Lonchura striata: one gene and its partner. The protein of the gene in region 1 purifies or fractionates together with the protein of each later gene. This does not show direct contact. Links are inferred from orthologs where the notes say so. Each region holds a gene or a part of one and is shown in the gene's direction. Other genes may lie near its edges. The genes, in order: forkhead box protein M1 and MYBL2.

Region 1 (8,536 bases):
CCTGGCCACAGCCTCCTTTCAAGCCCTTGTAGAGAGCGCTAAGGTCCCCCCTGAGCCTCCTTTTCTGCAGGCTGAACACCCCCAGCTCCCTCAGCCACTCCTCGTGGGACTTGTGCTCCAGACCAGCTCTGCTGTCCTTCTCGGGTCCCACTCCCGCACCTCAGTGTCCTGCCTGAACCGGGCGCTGCACTCCGAGTGCCCCAGCAGTGCCGAGGAGAGAGGAACGGTCCCTGTCCCGGCCCTGCTGGCCGCGCTGTTGCTGACACAGGCCAGGTGCCACTGGCCCTCTTGGCCACCTGGGCACAACTATGTTCACCTACCTGACTTACCATAGATCAGCACAGACAAGAAAACGTGACAACATTTCTGAGAAACGCATGAGACTGACACAGCCTGACGGCTTACCTAAGCGGCACCGTGCCCGAGGGTCCTGCGGGCCCCTCTAGCCCGGCGCGGCCGTGACACACACGTTAAACGGCAAAACCCCGCAGCTCTTCACCAGGCGCCAGCGCGCCGCCGGCGGCGCGGGCGCACGGCGGGGCTCCCGGCCGCGGGCAGCACGGCTGAAGGAAGCTGGCGGCACTGCCGCGGCCGGGCGGGAGCGGCCGTCCCGGTACAAGCGCGGCACACCGCGGTGCCGGCGCGACGCGGGCCCGGTCCCGGTCCCGCCGCACATCCGCGCCCGCCGCCGCCGCCGCCCATTGGCCCGGGCCGGGCCCGCCCCCGCCGCCGCTCACTGGCGCAGGCCGGCACGTGACCGGGCCAGCGCCGGGCGCCAAATTCAAACCGGGCCGCTCCGAGAGCGCCGGGGCCGCCGCCCGCCCCGGCCGCGCCCCGGCCGCAGCTGGTGAGTCGCCGCCGGCGCCCCGGCTGGGGTCGGCGCCCCTCGGACGGCCGCGGTAAGGCCGCCGCGCGGCCGGGACAGGGCAGCGCCCGGGCCCGGCCCGGGGCGGAAGGCCCGGGGAGCAGCGAACCCGCCGGCCAGGGCGGCAGCGCGGGGCTGGGGTGGGTGACAGAGGAGCTGGGAGCGCCCTGGCCGTGCCCTGCCTGCCCCCGCGGGGCCGCGCCTGCACAGCCCTGCTCCCGGGCCTGGACGGGGCAGCAGATCCAGGCCTTGGGAAGGGACGCGCTCCCGTTCCTGCTCGCAGGAACGCTGCCTGTCGGAGGCTGGCTCAGGGTTCTGCTTCTGGCGCTGTCTCTCCTTAAGGGGGAGGAGCAGATCTCCAAGGGCCATGCTTGTGCCGGGTGCCAGAACCCGCGTGGAATGATCGCTGGGCTGTCTGCTCACTGTGCATAGGGCGTTAGCTCAGCTTGTTATCCGCTGGACTCTGCTTTCTATCAATGTAGGGGATTCTTACTGAGAATTTTCTCGTTTACTAGCTGACCCCGTCAAATCTAGTAATGCAAAAGGCCTCTCTTTTTTGGTATCTGTTTCTATTCTGCTTGCCATCTCTAATGACAAACAATAACTACAATTTGCATATTGTTCTGCTTTAGTTTTCAGAAAGGCACAGGTTCCACCAAATTCCTGATGGCATTATTAGCAATATTCTCATAGCATCTTACCCTGGAAGCAGTATCTCTGAATTTCATTTCCTCTGCTTCCAGCTTTATAGTCTAAACTACCTATTGTCCAAAAGTTTGACATCTAAATTGTATGCTACCCAATGATGAATTTATGTGATTCTTAACAAATACAAAAGGAATTAGAAGCACATTTACTTGGTGTCTAGCTTAAAGCACCTTACTTCTGCTGCATTTATTATGTGCTTTTGTAGTGTTCAGGGTAATCTCTGCTTCCCAGATCTTAAACCATCTGTAAATTCCCTTTTCACACAGGTTATATAATCTGCTGCTTAGAGCAATCAGCTATAAGAATCAGCACTGCTGTTTCTATATTCCGCCTCCCCTGCAGCTTGCTGGCTGACATGGTCAAATTGCCCTACAGCTAAGTCTTTTTGTAAAGCACATACACACTTTGCTCATTATTATGTACTTTATGATGCACATTATCTACTCTGCAACTCTCTCATCCTGCTTACACAAAGTGTGGATTAGGGAGGTACAGTATGATTTTTCAGTAGCCTTGTCTGCCTTATTAAATGCTTCTAATTTTAATTTTCCTTTTGCATTTCTAGCTTTGTAGCAACTGCAACTGCTGAGAATGTGTGCTCTGTGGGAGGTCTTGAGATGATTTGCTGCACCCTTTATGTTGTACCTTTTGTTTTGCAGGATTTGTTTCTCTCCCTTTCAATGGAGAGTGACAGTATAGATCAATAATGAGGACCAGCCCTCGCAGGCCCTTAATTCTCAAAAGACGAAAACTGACCCTCCCACAGAATGGTGAATCCAGTACTTCAGCAAGAGATGAGAAGAGAGGTCAGGATGAAAAGGCTCCTAAGCAGGAGCACAGGCAGGAAGACCAACACAACAGACAACCCAGAGACAAAAGGGACGGTGGCCTGCAGAAATTCCCAGCAGGAATAAAGATAATTGACCATCCTACAATGCCCAACACACAGGTGGTGGCCATCCCTACAAATGCTGATATCCAGAGCATTATAGAGGCATTGACAGCAAAAGGAAAAGAATGTGGCAACAATGGACCAAATAAGTTCATTCTCATTAGCAGTGGGGGCACATCCCGTTCAGCAGGTCCAGCACCATCGCAGCATCTCCCATCAGAGAAGAAAGCCAGTGCAGGCAACAGGGCTGCAGTTATTCAAGAAAGAGAGAAGAATGTTGCACAGACATCTGGTCTTGCAGGTAGTACAGAGCTCTGGCATTCAGGAGTTGGTCCTGTGGTTGGACAGGGACAGTATGTAGCCTTTACCTGTTTGTTTTTTTTTTGTCCTGACAGACAAAGAGATGTGAAATGGGCCAAGGAGTGCAGCACTTGCATCTTGGTTTGCAGTAATTATTAATATTTTGTTAATTACAAAATACCTATGGATTGGATTCTAATAATGTACCTAGCTTTGCATATGTAGTGAAATCTGAAGGATTATAGTGGACATATTTTTTGGTGGAAGACATCTGTGCTTCTGATTTAAGTTTTGTGCTAAATCTTTCTATTTCTTGAAGTACTTGATCAACATTGTCCTGTTTTGGTTGACAATAGCCTGGTTTGAGTGTTTATTTTTAGAGCCTGCAGCTCTTTTCAGAAATTGGGCAACTACAGGAATCAAAATCAGGAATTCAAGATGAATTCCTTCCACAATACTAGTGTTGCAATACCATCTTTTAGAAGTGTGACTGGTGCCTTCCTTTTGACAGCTGTGATGAAGGAGTAGCAGGGTTACTTGTGAGAAAGCAGAGTTATGGCGAGGGGAAGGCTGTGTCTGTAGCCCACCTGGGCTTCAGTAAAGCCTTTCACACTGTCTCCTACAGCATTTTTCTGGAAAAGCTGGCAGCCATGGCTTGGTCAGGTTCACTCTTGACTGGATTAAAACTGGCTGGATGGCTGGGCCCAGAGAGTGGTGCTGAACAGTGCTGCATCCAGCTGGTGACCAGTCACTGGTAGGGTTCCCCAGGGCTCAGAGTTGGGCCAGTCCTGCTTTTCTCTGTGTATCAGTGATCTGGATGAGGGGATCAAGAGCATCCTCAGCAAACTCACAGATGACATCAAGTTGGGTGGGAGTGTGGATCTGCTGGAGGGCAGGAGGGCTCTGGACTGGCTGGATCCATGGGTCAAGGCCAATTGCATGATGTTCAGTAAAAGCAGGTACCAGGCCCTGCAGTTGTGTTGCAAAAGCACCAGGCAGTGCTAGAAGCTGGGGGAAGAGTGTCTGGAAAACTGCCTGGCAGGAAAAGAGCCAGGACTACTGGTCAACAGCAGCCAGGAGCCAGTGTGTGCCCAGATGGCCAAGAAGACCAATGACATCCTAGCCTGTACCAGCAATACTGTGTTCAGCAGGACCAGGGGAGAGATTGTCCAGTACTCAGCACTGGTGAGGCTGCATCTTGAGTTCTTTTTTCAGTTTAGGGTCACTCATGACGGGAAAGACATTGAGGTTCTGGAGCATGTCCAGAGAAGGACAACATGGTGAAGGGTCTGGAGCACAGGTCTGATGAGGAAGAGCTGAGGGAGCTGAGGCTGTTCAGCCTGGAGGCTCAGGGGGACCTTGTCACTCTCTACAACTGCCTGAAAGGGGGTTGTAGAGCAGTGGGGGTTGCCTTCTTCTAGGCAACAAATGACAGGACAAAAGAGCATAGCCTCAAGCTGTGCCAAGGAAAGTTCAGATAGGACATAATGAAGAACCTCTTCCCTAAAAGGGTTGTCAAGCATTGGAACAGACTGTCCAGGGAGGTTTGGAGTCACCATCCCTAGAGGTATCCAAGAAACAACTGGATGCTGCAGTCAGTGCCATGGTCTCATTGATAAGAGGGTGTTTGGTCACAGGTTGGACTCAATGGTCTTGGAGGACTCTTTTAGCCTAATTTATTCTGTGATTATTATGTGGGCTTATTATCCCAACAGGCAGTGGAGAGACAATGAGTTCTGTGTTGGACAACAGTCTCACCAACATCCAGTGGCTGGGGAAGATGAGATCTGATGGGCTAAATCCCTCTTCTGTGAAGGAAGACACAGAGAAAGAGAATCAGATACCTCTGCAGGAAAGAGTCAAGGCAAGTAGGAGAATACAAGAGTGTGCTAAAACTTTTGATAAGGAGGTAATCTAGGTGGATCAGAATACTTGCAAGAATTAGGTATTGCTATCTCTAAGTAACCTGATTTTAACCTTTACTGATATGAATAGCAGAACCCAGAGGATCCAGGGATGTTCCATGGGCCTTCTTGTCAGCTTCGCGAACATTCATTCAGACTGAATCTTCTTTCTTTCAGACTGAAGAGGAAGCTGCTGCTGCTGCTATTCCTACTGCTGCTGAGTCCTCCTCATGTCAGGATTCGGTGTCAGAGCGACCTCCTTACTCCTACATGGCCATGATCCAATTTGCCATCAACAGCACGGAGAGGAAGCGCATGACCCTGAAGGACATCTATACCTGGATTGAGGATCATTTCCCTTATTTTAAACATGTAGCTAAGCCAGGTTGGAAGGTAACCAGCAGCCCTCAAGTTGCTGTGGGTGATGTTACATGCCTTCTGGATCAAAATGAAAAGTTATTCCCCAGCCTGCAAATCAAGATGGAAGCTCATTTAAACGTTCCACCCCAAATACACTCTCACTCCAGATGTTCACTGTACCACTTCTTGTATCCCTTGCCTCATCCTACTTAAACAAGATGATGGGATGTTTGAGCACTGGAGTGAGAACTGGGATCTCAAGAGTACATAGAATAAGAGACTGATGACAGGGTTGGCTGGGTACGATGTGAACATGAAAGTTTGGTGTTGTTTGCACTTTGGAATGTAATCCCTCTGCTAGGACAGCTATGTTTGAGGTGGGCCTTGCTGTGCTGATAACAAAACTGCTGGTTTTCAACCTCCCATTCACTCCTTTCTCCTCAGAACTCCATCCGGCACAACCTGTCCCTTCATGATATGTTTGTCCGTGAGACATCTGCCAATGGTAAAATCTCCTTCTGGACTATTCACCCTGATGCAAACCGTTGCCTAACATTGGACCAGGTATTTAAGGTGAGTTGCCTCATGCAAAGAAAATAGGACAGGCTATCCAGTTTCTAAATGCCACACTAGCCTGATGCACCTTATTTTAACTGTAAGATCAAACTGCGTTGATTCAGCCTCTTTGTAGAAGCTGGATTCAGTCATTTCACTTGACAAATAGACAAGCGCTGCATTTGAAAGAAAAGATGCTATGGCTGTGCTTTTGATCTGGAGCTTCTGTAAGATGTGTTTATTCTTCATGTGCTCTGCCAAATATAATAGGTTGTTCACCTTCTTTCCATGGGCCTGATATAAATTCCTAATAAGAAGATTTACACTGAGGCCAACCAGGTGTTCCTATGCTGTTTGATAAGTCAGTCATAGGATGGAATTGTGCTAGCCCAAACAGGTATTTTAGGAAGATTTTGTTCGGGAAATAGAGCTTGAGAGTCTGGTATAGGTGTGTTTAGAAAACTGTTGTGGTTTCTGTTGTGGGTGGGTGGACTTCTTTGTTTGCTCCAATTGTACAAGTTTTAAATGTCCCATTTGTCTCCCTCTTTGGCTGATGACTTAATCTTAAATTTTTTTCTTGCTCAATGCCTTCTGCCACCGGCAGCCGCTGGACTTGGGGTCACCAACATCGCCTGAGTACTCTGAATCAGTAAGAATTACCATCTGGCTCGGGGCATTGTCTTCTTCCAATGGCATCTTCCATTCTCTTCTTGCCACTCACTGAAGGAAAGGACAACAGGCTTGGGGAGGGGGATTGGTTCACTGCTGCATCTACTCATACAGCTCTGTGCTGTACCCTTTGTGGGGAGAGGGGTCTAGCCAAAGGTTGACAGTCTATCAAAATGGTAAATCTGGACAGCTTAGAGCAACTTGGAAGTCTACTGCTGAAGTAGGCTGCAATGGACACCGATAGGCTTCAGAGAACAAGCCCAAACAGATTTCTGGTAAAATCATCTCCATGGCAACAGTTCCAATGTATTCTGGAGCTCAGATCCAGAGAGAATAGGATCTCTCTGTGGGTTTTCATTTTGTAACCCGCTGAACTGTGTGTGACTCTTAGAAGGATGAGCCTGTTTGCTATTGCTGTTGCATTCAGCAGTTTTAACAGTGACTGATTTGCAAACATCCAGTCAAACACTTTTCTGTCACAGCTACAACCTTGGCCTTCTTTCCATCTGCTCCAAAATCTGATCCCATTGCTGCCTCTGCTATTCCATTGAACACCTATCTGTATCCAATAGACAATAAAGCCATCCTATTCATTGTTTCTCAGGCACACAGTGTGCCAAAACCAGCTCACTTCTGCAGTAGAGTCTGCAGCTGGAGCAGCTCTGTCATGTCATCTCTTTTCCTACACAGCTTTTGGTGGGCAGCTGGCTTTGGGATGGCTGCAAACCAGCAAGTGGCACAGACCTAGAGCCAGCCTGAATGTTGGGTGCTAACAGCTGCTCTCTTTGCATTAGTCCAGCACAGACCTCTGGTTTCACAATTCTCAGTGCGGCAGCAGAATAAATGCGGATTCTTTTCTTTTAATCTCTCTTTTTCTCCTTCTCCTCTTATCTCACAATGACTGCAGCAACAAAAGAGTAATCTTCCAGATCCTCTGAAGAACATGGGAAGCAAAACTGAACCCCAGAATTCACGTAAGTGTCCACATCACTCTAGGCCAAAGCAAATCAATCCAATAAACCTGGGGCATTCTCATAGATTTCTTTAGGAGTGGAGTGTGTTATCCCTGTTTGCCAGCTTTTATGCTTCTTACTGCCAGGTTTGAAATGGAAAGCAGTAGTGTTTTGTCTGAGACGATGTGATGGTGAGATCCTGGGCAATGGGCACTCAAATGGAATGAGAGCCCAAACCTGAGGGGTAGGATCTGCATGAAATGTTATTTTCTCGTTCATGAGGCTTCTGGCTTGGTATTTGTATCCTTAAAGTTAGCAGAGAAGGCAAGTGATCTGATAAAATGTTTCTTTTGGGGTGTCTAGAAGGACTTTCTCTAAGCTGCCTGGGTTTCAAGAGGTAGCAGTGGAGAACAGGCAAAAGTGAGTCCCTTCTTTTCCCTTCCAGGCCGAAAGATGAAGCCTTTGCTTCCTCGTGTCAACTCCTACCTGGTTCCAATCCAGTTCCCTTTGAGTCAGCCTCTTGTCTTGCAGCCTTCTATGAAGGTTCCCCTGTCCACGGCACAGGGAGCATCTTTTAACAGCACAGAGACTTTGCAGAGCAATAAGCGTGTGTGCATTGCCCCAAAGGTTGGTTTCTTTTTTTCCAAGGAGTTTTGAGGAGGTTAGTGTGGGTTTTTTCCTGTTTTTTTCTTCTTTATTTTTTATCTTTTTTTATAAGTGAGGTGAGGAGGGGGCTAGGTAGGGTGTGGGGATTTTTTTAAGGAGGGGAGTGTTCGCTTGGATTTTTTGTTGTTTGGTTTTTTTTATATCTCTTGCCCTCAATGAACCTTTTCTTCATATTGTTCCTTTATCTTTACTTAGGTGCTCTAAACTCTAAGCTCCTATAAAGGAACTAGTTAGTGATAATCCTTGCTATCCTTTACTGTCTCTAGGCTAACTACTACCTCCTAGTTTATTTGCTCTAAGGATGTTTCCATAATTCACTAGAGGAAGGGGCCTTATGGCTTGGTCAAGACAATTTTTCTTTACTGCTGGGATGTGAAGAAAGAAGAATGGGAGGAATGGCTTTGTTCTATCCTAAAACATCCATATTTTTGGTAGCTCTGTAGACAAACAACAATTAGGAACTTCTAAAAGGGTGTATATTTCATGTAGTCTCTTCCCAGAGTATTTCCATATCTGATGTTTGCTAATACTGTGAGGTTCACAGTTATTCTGGGCTCAAGAAAAACAGCTATTAAACAGATCTTTTTCTTGGCATCTCACTGACTGCTCTTGTATGTGTAGACATTGTAAAGCTTTAGCTTCCTCCATCCTGTCTATAACCATA
Region 2 (8,224 bases), on another chromosome or scaffold:
CATTTCAAATTTATTAAAAGAACTTCACACTGTAGTGTGTGGTACCAAAACAGAATCCTTGTGTGGTGAACCTTTGATTGAGTGGCTGCTCCCAGTCCTGTGAGGTGCTGGCTCAGCCTTCCCAATGAAAACAGGATGTGCTATTTCAGAAAGCTGTGGTGGTGAAGGTACTGCACTGCTTGTGCCAGGGAGGAGCCAGTCTGTCCTGCTCTGCCTCCATCTCCCAGATCCTCAGGGGAAGCAGAAAGCAGAACATTGGTCTTTTACATCAGAAGCTGATCAAACTTTAACCAGCAATGTTTGGGCAGACAGCAACAACACAAACTATGAGGGTGTCAAACTCATTTCAGAAGGCAAGAATCTTGGTATCTGAGTTTTGCCATCATTGTTCCATCCTTCTTTACCCTGGCCACTGAGAAAGCATTTCTGATATCCTTTAGAGCTTCAGGAGTGCAACTGAAAGTGGTGTCTCCTTCACTGCTTTTTAAAAACCCAAGTCCAGCTTGTGACATAAATGGTGCCTGCATGAAACAGAAAATACTCTGACCAAAATTGATGTCAGTATGTTTTCAGGGTGAGCTATTAGGGCCAATTTAGTTCCTCAGCTCTCAGCTATCACCTGGGTCTCATGGAGCAAAACTGAAACTGCAAATAAGAATGTCTAGTTGTTATGCTGGGTGATAATTCTGGCATACATGTGACTAAATTCTTTTGGAATGTTCAGTTATTTTTACAGCATAAAAATGGAATTTTCAAATGCTGCCCCTTGGTTCAGTGGCTTTGGAGTTGCTTTTGACTTTTTAAAAGGGCTTCTTCAAGTCCAATATAAGTTCAAAACTGTTGTCTTAGAGATCTGTAAAGAAAAATGTGTGGCAGTCAACCATGCTGCGTTTTCTTTCCAAGGTCTTTCCACCTGCTTTCAAAGAATTGCCTCCTCCTGCTCTGGAACTGTTTGACTTGGATGAAACTTTTTCCTCAGAGAAAGCACGTCTTGCAGAGATTACAAACAAATGTAAGTGGAGAAGATTGTTTGCACGTTTAAAATAAAAGTCCAGTTTTTTTAGAGGAAATTTCTAATATTGAATGTTAAAGCATGCACCTCATTTGGGAAATCTACTGCTCTTATCCTGATCTAAGAAATTGAAAGGCTTTGGAAATTAATAGCATGACTTTATGTACCATGACATTATGTTTTGTCTGTTGCATGACATTTTATCGTGTTTCTTCCCGTTTCCTATATTGTGCATTGCTTTGTGCACTCTTGCTGATAAATTTCACATCTTGTTTATGCTTTTAAGTTAAAATGTTAAGATTATTATAAACACCTAAAGAAGATGAGCAGGTACTGGCTGCAGGAATACGTTATGGCTAGTCCACTGAGCTTAGTGATGGGACTGAGCCTCCCAGGATGCCAGCAGCAAAAGGAGATTCAGAGCAGGTTTCTGGCCAGCTGCTCCAGATGTGTGAGACTCACCTGCCTTCTTCCCTGGGTGCTTGTTTAGGCACTGATGATGACCTGGAGTTCTACGTGCGGAAATGTGGTGATATCCTGGGAGTGACCAGTGAACTCCCAAAGGACAGGCAAGATGCCAAATATATCCTGGAGCACATCTTCTTCCAAGTGGTTGAGTTTAAGAAACTGAATCAGGTATTTTTAATAGCAATTACAAGTGAGTAGTTGGTAGTAGCAGCAGTAAGGGTGGTGTATCATTGTAGCAGTTACAGTTGTCACAGGCAAGAGGTGATGTGAGACATTAGCTGTGCTATAAATGAGACCAGTCAAGTGTGATCCAGAGTACTTATGACTCTTAATCTCCATAAAATGTGTACTGCTCAATTTATTAAGTCTCTCATTTATTTTAATTGGGGAATTAGTACATGCAAGTGTAGTTTGTAATTGCAGCTAAATCTGGTTCATTAGTGGTGCCTGAGTGAGAGCAGGGAGCCCTCAGGAGTGTTCACTGCTCTGGCCAGTGCTGCTGTGCAGAGGTGACCAGCATTGTTCTTCAGGAGCTGCACTGAAATGCAGCTGTGCTGAAAGAATTCTTCATAGCAAATTTAACGTTTCAAAGTGTGTTTGGAGCATATTGGCAGAGCAACAGTTTGTGCTAACAAGAATTGTCTGTTTCACATAATCTAGTTAAGCCAAAAATCTTACAGTTCTACCCTGTTGTTAAAACTCTTTTTTCTTCCTTTTTTTTCCTTCCTCTTCCCTTACTTAAGGAACACGATACTGACCAAAGTGAAGCTGGATTCCAGAACAGTACCTGAGAGCTGGCTTTCCCCAGTTTGAGATAGACCTTTTAGGGAAAGTATATTTTTCCATTTTTAAAGTCTCTCTTCTCAGTGTATTGATTGGGACTGTCTCAGTAGTTCACTGGATGCTTGGATCATTTATGTGTAGTAGTTCAGATAATTAATGCCTTCTGGGGAACTGCTTGTATTTCACAAGCACTTTCCAAAGAATTTCTTATTTTTCTACTTCTTTATTGAAACTGTAATTTTTTAATATATTAAAAAAATAATATACCAAGAAAATGTGTTTTGGGTCCTTTCTGGCTCCAGCATTTATTTTCTTGTAGTTAAGTCTGCCTTACCTGTTGGTTCTCCTGTTGTACATGAAATCCTTAATTGCACTGTGAGAAGGGTTGTTATTTTGGTTTGTTAACTTAGGACAAAAAAATAGAGCCATAATTTTAGCAGGAGCTGCTGAAAATACATGTATCACCCTGAGGCAGCCTCATTTTGTCTCTCTGCCAAAGAGAACTAAGGAGAGGTGAGTTTGTTACTGTAGAAAGAAAACATTTCTTCCAAGGGAGGGGCAGATTTGAAATTAAGCAATAATGACATTGTTGCAGATTGCTGCCTCATATCAGACTGGAATTACAGAATTTTAAAAAGAGAGGACAGCACATGGATGCAAACCTTAAGATTGAGTGGATCATTATTAAGACACTGATACTGCACAGAAATTAATGGATATTTTTACTTCCATTTATTTGATATCTAGTCCACTCCCTGAGGTAGTGAGTTCAGTAATACGCAGGAGTGGAAATCCAGGTTAAATTAATTTTCCGTGAAATGTTGAAGCTCAATGCACAGCAAAAATAGAGCCAAGGAGATCAGTGGTGAGAAGAAAAGATTTTTGTCAACATCATCACCACCACACCTCTATTGCAAGGACTTGTTTTTATGTTAATGTGGTGAAATTGCATTATAAAGCCTTTTTTGGCTGTCAGACTGACACTCAGATTGTTAAATTCTTCCCCCACTCAGGACTTCAATGACTTCTGTGTTTTACCTTGCTCTGCCATGGTTTTTAAAATCAGAACTGCTTTTTGCAAAAAAACCTGTTCATCTTTTTATCCCTCCAAAATACCTTTTTGTTTTACATTTCATGCTTCACATAGCATTTTGGCACAGGTTTTTCTAAAGGAGGTGCCCCAAAGCCCCTGCCAAGTTCCTGCCCAGTTGAGATGTGCTAATGTTAGCAGAAGTGGTTGTATCTCTTTCTCCACTGCAGCCGTTCCCTTTCACAGCAGCATGTTGGAAATTTTTCATTTCTTCTTCTGTTTTCCTTTAAGGCCGTGGTTGTGTTTGTCACCCAGAGCACTTTGTACATTCCAGCTCCAGATTTACACAACAACCTTAATCTCTTCTCCTGTGCAGTAGCAATAGCAATCAGTCAGCCAGCACAGGGTGCAGCTGAACCAACCCCCTGAGTGCTCCTGTTGCTAATTATAGCTCCAGTTTGTACTCTTCTGGGGTGTTTATACTTCAAACTGTAAATAACTTTCTGTTTCCAAGTTGTTTTGTCACCTGTTTCTGATGTAACATGGTTTAAAAAAAGCCATGTGAGCAGCCCGGGGATACAAGCAGCTCCCTGTTTTCTGGGTGTCTCTCAGGCCTCTGACAGCTGAAGAACACATTTTTTTACTGAATGGATGTTTTTCTTACTAGTGTGGAATACATGTAGCTCACATCTCTCTTTCAAAGCTGTCCCTTTGGCCCTCTGGAAGTATTTAAACTGACTTTGTTACTAGAAACACTTTAGTCATGAGAGTATGATGCATATAAATTTTATGGCTGACTGACAGAATTTCCAAGGAGTAGAAGTAGGTGAGTGCTTTCAAGAGGTGAGGTGAGGCCAGGGGGAACACGTTGGGCAGGTAGCTAGTGAGGGAGTTAATATATAAATCAAATTTCTGCTGTGATTTTCAAAAGTTGGTTTCAAGCAGCTCTTGCTGCTTTCCCTTTTTTTCTCTGTCCTCTCATGCAACATGACTCATTATCCCCTAATATGCCCCTAAAAGAAGAGGGGAACAGTACACTGGTTATAGAGCAAATGTCCTGAAAAGCTGTTTTAACAAGTTCTTCCTCCCTTTCTTTGCTGTAAGCAGAGACAGGAGAGGAAAATCAGGATTGCATATGGGTGGGGTGCGATCTAGCAGGAGAGCGTGAAAAATCTAATGGGGTGGGTGCGATGGCCTAGGCTCCTTTCCTTGCCTCGGAGCAGGGTTTGGATGTGACAGAGGAAATGGTCCCTGCGCGGTGGCGGCTTGCCGCGGCCAGGACGAGCAGCGGCACCCCGCATGAGGCAGGCGGGCTGTGCCCGGGGCGCTCCCCGCTGCCGGGCTGTGCTTTCCCGGCGCGCCAGGAGAGGGATCCGCGGCCCCGGGCGCGCCTCCGCCCGCGCTCCCGGCGGGCAGCGCCGGCCCCGCAGCCATGGCCCCGCGGCTGCGGCCGCGTCCCGCTGCCCCTTCTCCGCCGGGACCCGCCCCGACCCCTCGGCCAGGTAACGGGGGCGGGCGGGCGGGGGTCCGGGCACCCCCAGCTCGGAGGGGGCTGCACGGAGGCCGGCTCTGGGCGTTCAGGGGGCTCAGCTTCAGGCCGGGAGGGCAGCGAGAGTCAGGGACCACCAGCAGAGAGACATTTATATCTTTATTGTGCTAATACAAAAGAGCGATCGGGGAGGAGGAGGAGCCAGCAATGCTGCGGCTCTCGGAGGTGCCATCACCAGCTCAAACATCCCCCACCACCAGTGCCGACTCGGCCACCCCAGGTGAGCAGATTTAGCTCGTCACCAGCTGCTGCCATCACCACTCAAGCCGCTGGCTCCATCTTCTGTGCTGCAGCGTGGATCCCTGCTCCTCGCAGGAGGGGAGGGGGCAGGCACCAGCAGCTCCAGCTGGAGGCAGGGCAGCAGCATCACAGAGCCTGCTGCAGAAACACAGGGACAGCGTCAGGGTCACTCAGCTGGGTCTCCTGGGTGGCAGACCTGTGGATCAGTGTGGGGTGCTTCTTGAAGGCACTGGGCCAAGCCAGAGGAATCACCACAGGGGTCTCCAGGGATGATGTGTCTGGTTTGGAGCATCCCAGTAAACGTAACTCCTCTGTGCTGACATCGAGGGATGTACTGGTATCCATAAAGGATTTTATTGCCGAGATGTCCCACCTGGGTGCTGGCACTTTCCCAAGGGCTGAGATGTCACCAGCCAGCTCAGAGCTCTTGAAGAGAAGGCTCTCCAGGGGTTTGAAGTGCTTGTCTTTATTGCAAGGTGTCGAAGTATTCTGTGATCCCACATTCATCAGGCAGCTATCTCTGCTAGGGTGCTCACAGGGCAAACCAGACAGCTCACAGGTGGCCTGGCCATGGTGGGCCTTGCAGAAGCAGACAAGACTGAGGTCAGAGATGCCCTGGGTCAAGCTGTGCAGCTCCGGCTTCACACAGCTGGTCAGAGACTCTGCCTGCTTGACAACACACAGGGAACTGCCACTTGCTGTGCTGTCCAAGTCCATGGGAAGCTCCCAGGTTTCATGTTTGGAAGCACTGCTAGAGTCCTTGTAATAGCTCACAACAGGAGAATAGCTCTGGCTGGAGGAGCTGGCCAAGAACCCGTTTTCCAGGATTTCCTTTCTGGTCACAATGCTGGTGCTGTGCTTCTGGGTGGACAGCATGGTGCAGAATCCAGCAGCTCTCTGGCTTAGAGAGATAAGGATGAGCCTGTCAGGATAAACCTGTTACTATTCACTAATGGTTTACAGACTTACAGTAGCAGGACCACTCTTGGCAAAATCCCATCTCACTGTTGCAGGACCTTGAGCAGGTTTCAGGACATGCAGGGGCATCCAGCCTGGCTCTCTCTTTTAGAGTAAAACAACTCCACTACAGCCTGTTAGTAGCTCAGAGGTCATAGCAGAATCTCCCTGAAGCTGTATTTATTTGACCTCAGCCTGTATTATCACTAGTCTTAACTTTGTACAGGGGATAGAAGCATTTTAGCCTCACTCCTGCAGTCAGAGGACCACTCACCCCAGCTAGAATTGAATCCCTCTGAGGAGGCACCAAAACCAGGCTCTGGCTAGGATGGGAAAAGTTGAAGGGCAGGTCTCATCTTACTTTTAGTGCTGTACACAATAACTCTCACCTCCAGCTCAGCCAGGAGCTGACTTCCAGATCTTTCCTGAGAGACTAGGGCAGGCCAGGGAAGGGGATAGCTATATTCCCAACCCAGCTTTACTCTGAATACATGCTAAACAGTCATAAATAGCGTCTGAATTTACTGCAAAGGGACTGTATGGTCAATCTAGAAGGAAAGTATTATTTAAGAGACTAAAACCATCTTATCTTAGCATATAAGAAATGAAAGAATAAGAAAACAATAAATAGTACCTTCAGCTCCTGTGAAGACCCTTTGAGGTTCCCAAGCCTTTTCTGCCAGTGTTACTTAGAGCAGTTTTATAGTTCTGGTAATCAATTAACAGGCTGATTTCCTAATTAAGCTAGTTTGGGAGAGGGAGGGGCTTCTGTTTGCCTCTTTTTAAGCACAGGGGTAGTGAAGGTGGGCCATGGCTGACTGATGGAGGTACTCTGAGATCTGTGAGGGATGGGTTATATTTGTCCTGTCAAAGAACCTTAATAAGGCTTTACTTTCTTTTAAGTGTTGCCTTGTGTTTTGTGAGCTGTTGATTAGGAATATCCACAAGTACAGACTTTTCATTGATGAAATAGACAGTACGTGTTGGAATATTTGAGTAATGCTCTCAGGCACAGGGTTGAACTGTTGTAGCTGTCCTGGACAGGGCCATAAGTTGGACTTTGATGATCTTTGGGGGTCCCTTCCAGCCTGGAATATTCTGTGATTCTTTAAGGTGTGATGTTCCTGCCCTGTGCCTGAGGCTGCTACATTTGGGAGGCTCAGGTTAGTGTGAGAGGGCCTGAGGGTAGAAATGGGGGTCCAAGGTTGGGGGGTGTGAATGGAGGGTATCCTGGGCTGGTGTGGGGGGGAAGGGGTCCCAGTGGTTTCAGGTGGATGAAGGGGTCCCGGGAGTCCTGAGTCCATGGGGACGTGGAGGTGCTGAGGATAGAAATGAGTAAACATGGGTCAGTGTAGGGCAGGGTGAGGGAGAGTCCTGGGTCAGTGTGGGGGATCCCCATGCTTTGGGGTTGGTACAGGGGTGGATGCAGAGGGATCTTGGGGTCGGTGCTGGGCCGGATGGGGAGGGTCGTGGGGGGCCCAGGTCGGTGTGTGGGTGGATGAGGAGGTTCCTGGTGGGAGCTTGCATCAATGCGGGGCTGGATGCGGTGGGACTTGGATCAGTGCAGGGTCGGTGCAGAGGTGGATGTGCGGGGTCCTGGATCGGGTGCTGTGTTAGATGTGGGGAGTCTCGGCAGTCCCAGTTCGGTGCAGAGGTCCTGGGGCTGGATGCGGGGATCCCGCAGGATGTGCCGAGGTATACAGGAGTCTGGATGCAGGTGTCCCGGGTCAGTGTCCCCGATCGGTGTGGGGATGGGTTGGATGTCCCGGCTCCGTGTAGGGGTGGGTGCGATGTGTCAGCTCGGTGTGAGGGTGGAAGCGGTGTCTGAGCTCGGTGTATACAGTGTCTCAGGTCGGTGTGAGGGTGAATGCGGTGTCTGAGCTCGGTGTGAGGATGTCCCAGCTCGGTGTATGCAGTGTCTCAGGTAGGTGTGAGGGTGAATGCGGTGTGCCCCGGATCGGTGTGAGGATGGATGTGGTGTCTCAGCTCGGTGTGAGGATGCCTCAGGTCGGTGTGAGGATGGATGCGGTGTCTGAGCTCGGTGTGAGGATGTCCCAGCTCGGTGCATACAGTGTCTGAGCTCTGTGTGAGGATGGATGCGTTTTGTCCCAGCTCGGTGTATGCAGTGTCTCAGGTAGGTGTGAAGGTGGATGCGGCGCCTCAGCTCGGTGTGAGGATGTCTCAG

The links.
Region 2: the proteins of forkhead box protein M1 (region 1) and MYBL2 purify together in Homo sapiens (affinity purification with western blotting; 3 studies listed by BioGRID and IntAct, with this or other methods). This does not show direct contact. The link is inferred for Lonchura striata from reciprocal best matches to the Homo sapiens genes FOXM1 and MYBL2.

The regions. Positions count from the first base shown.
Region 1 is NC_134604.1:31,065,604-31,074,139, forward strand, and holds the start of forkhead box protein M1, read left to right. Parts: upstream 1-4,924; 5' UTR 4,925-4,939; coding exon 4,940-5,062; intron 5,063-5,473; coding exon 5,474-5,602; intron 5,603-6,188; coding exon 6,189-6,233; intron 6,234-7,160; coding exon 7,161-7,227; intron 7,228-7,651; coding exon 7,652-7,833; intron 7,834-8,536. Other genes in the region: forkhead box protein M1-like, read left to right, coding at 2,280-2,818, 3,277-3,423, 3,575-3,714, 4,481-4,683. UniProt on the Homo sapiens protein: Transcription factor regulating the expression of cell cycle genes essential for DNA replication and mitosis. Plays a role in the control of cell proliferation. Also plays a role in DNA break repair, participating in the DNA damage checkpoint response.
Region 2 is NC_134619.1:11,069,830-11,078,053, forward strand, and holds the start of MYBL2 (myb-related protein B), read left to right. Parts: upstream 1-4,688; 5' UTR 4,689-4,795; intron 4,796-5,208; coding exon of another isoform or gene 5,209-5,958; intron 5,959-8,224. Other genes in the region: IFT52 (intraflagellar transport protein 52 homolog), read left to right, coding at 904-1,012, 1,503-1,648, 2,224-2,271; uncharacterized protein LOC144247204, read right to left, coding at 5,209-5,958. UniProt on the Homo sapiens protein: Transcription factor involved in the regulation of cell survival, proliferation, and differentiation. Transactivates the expression of the CLU gene.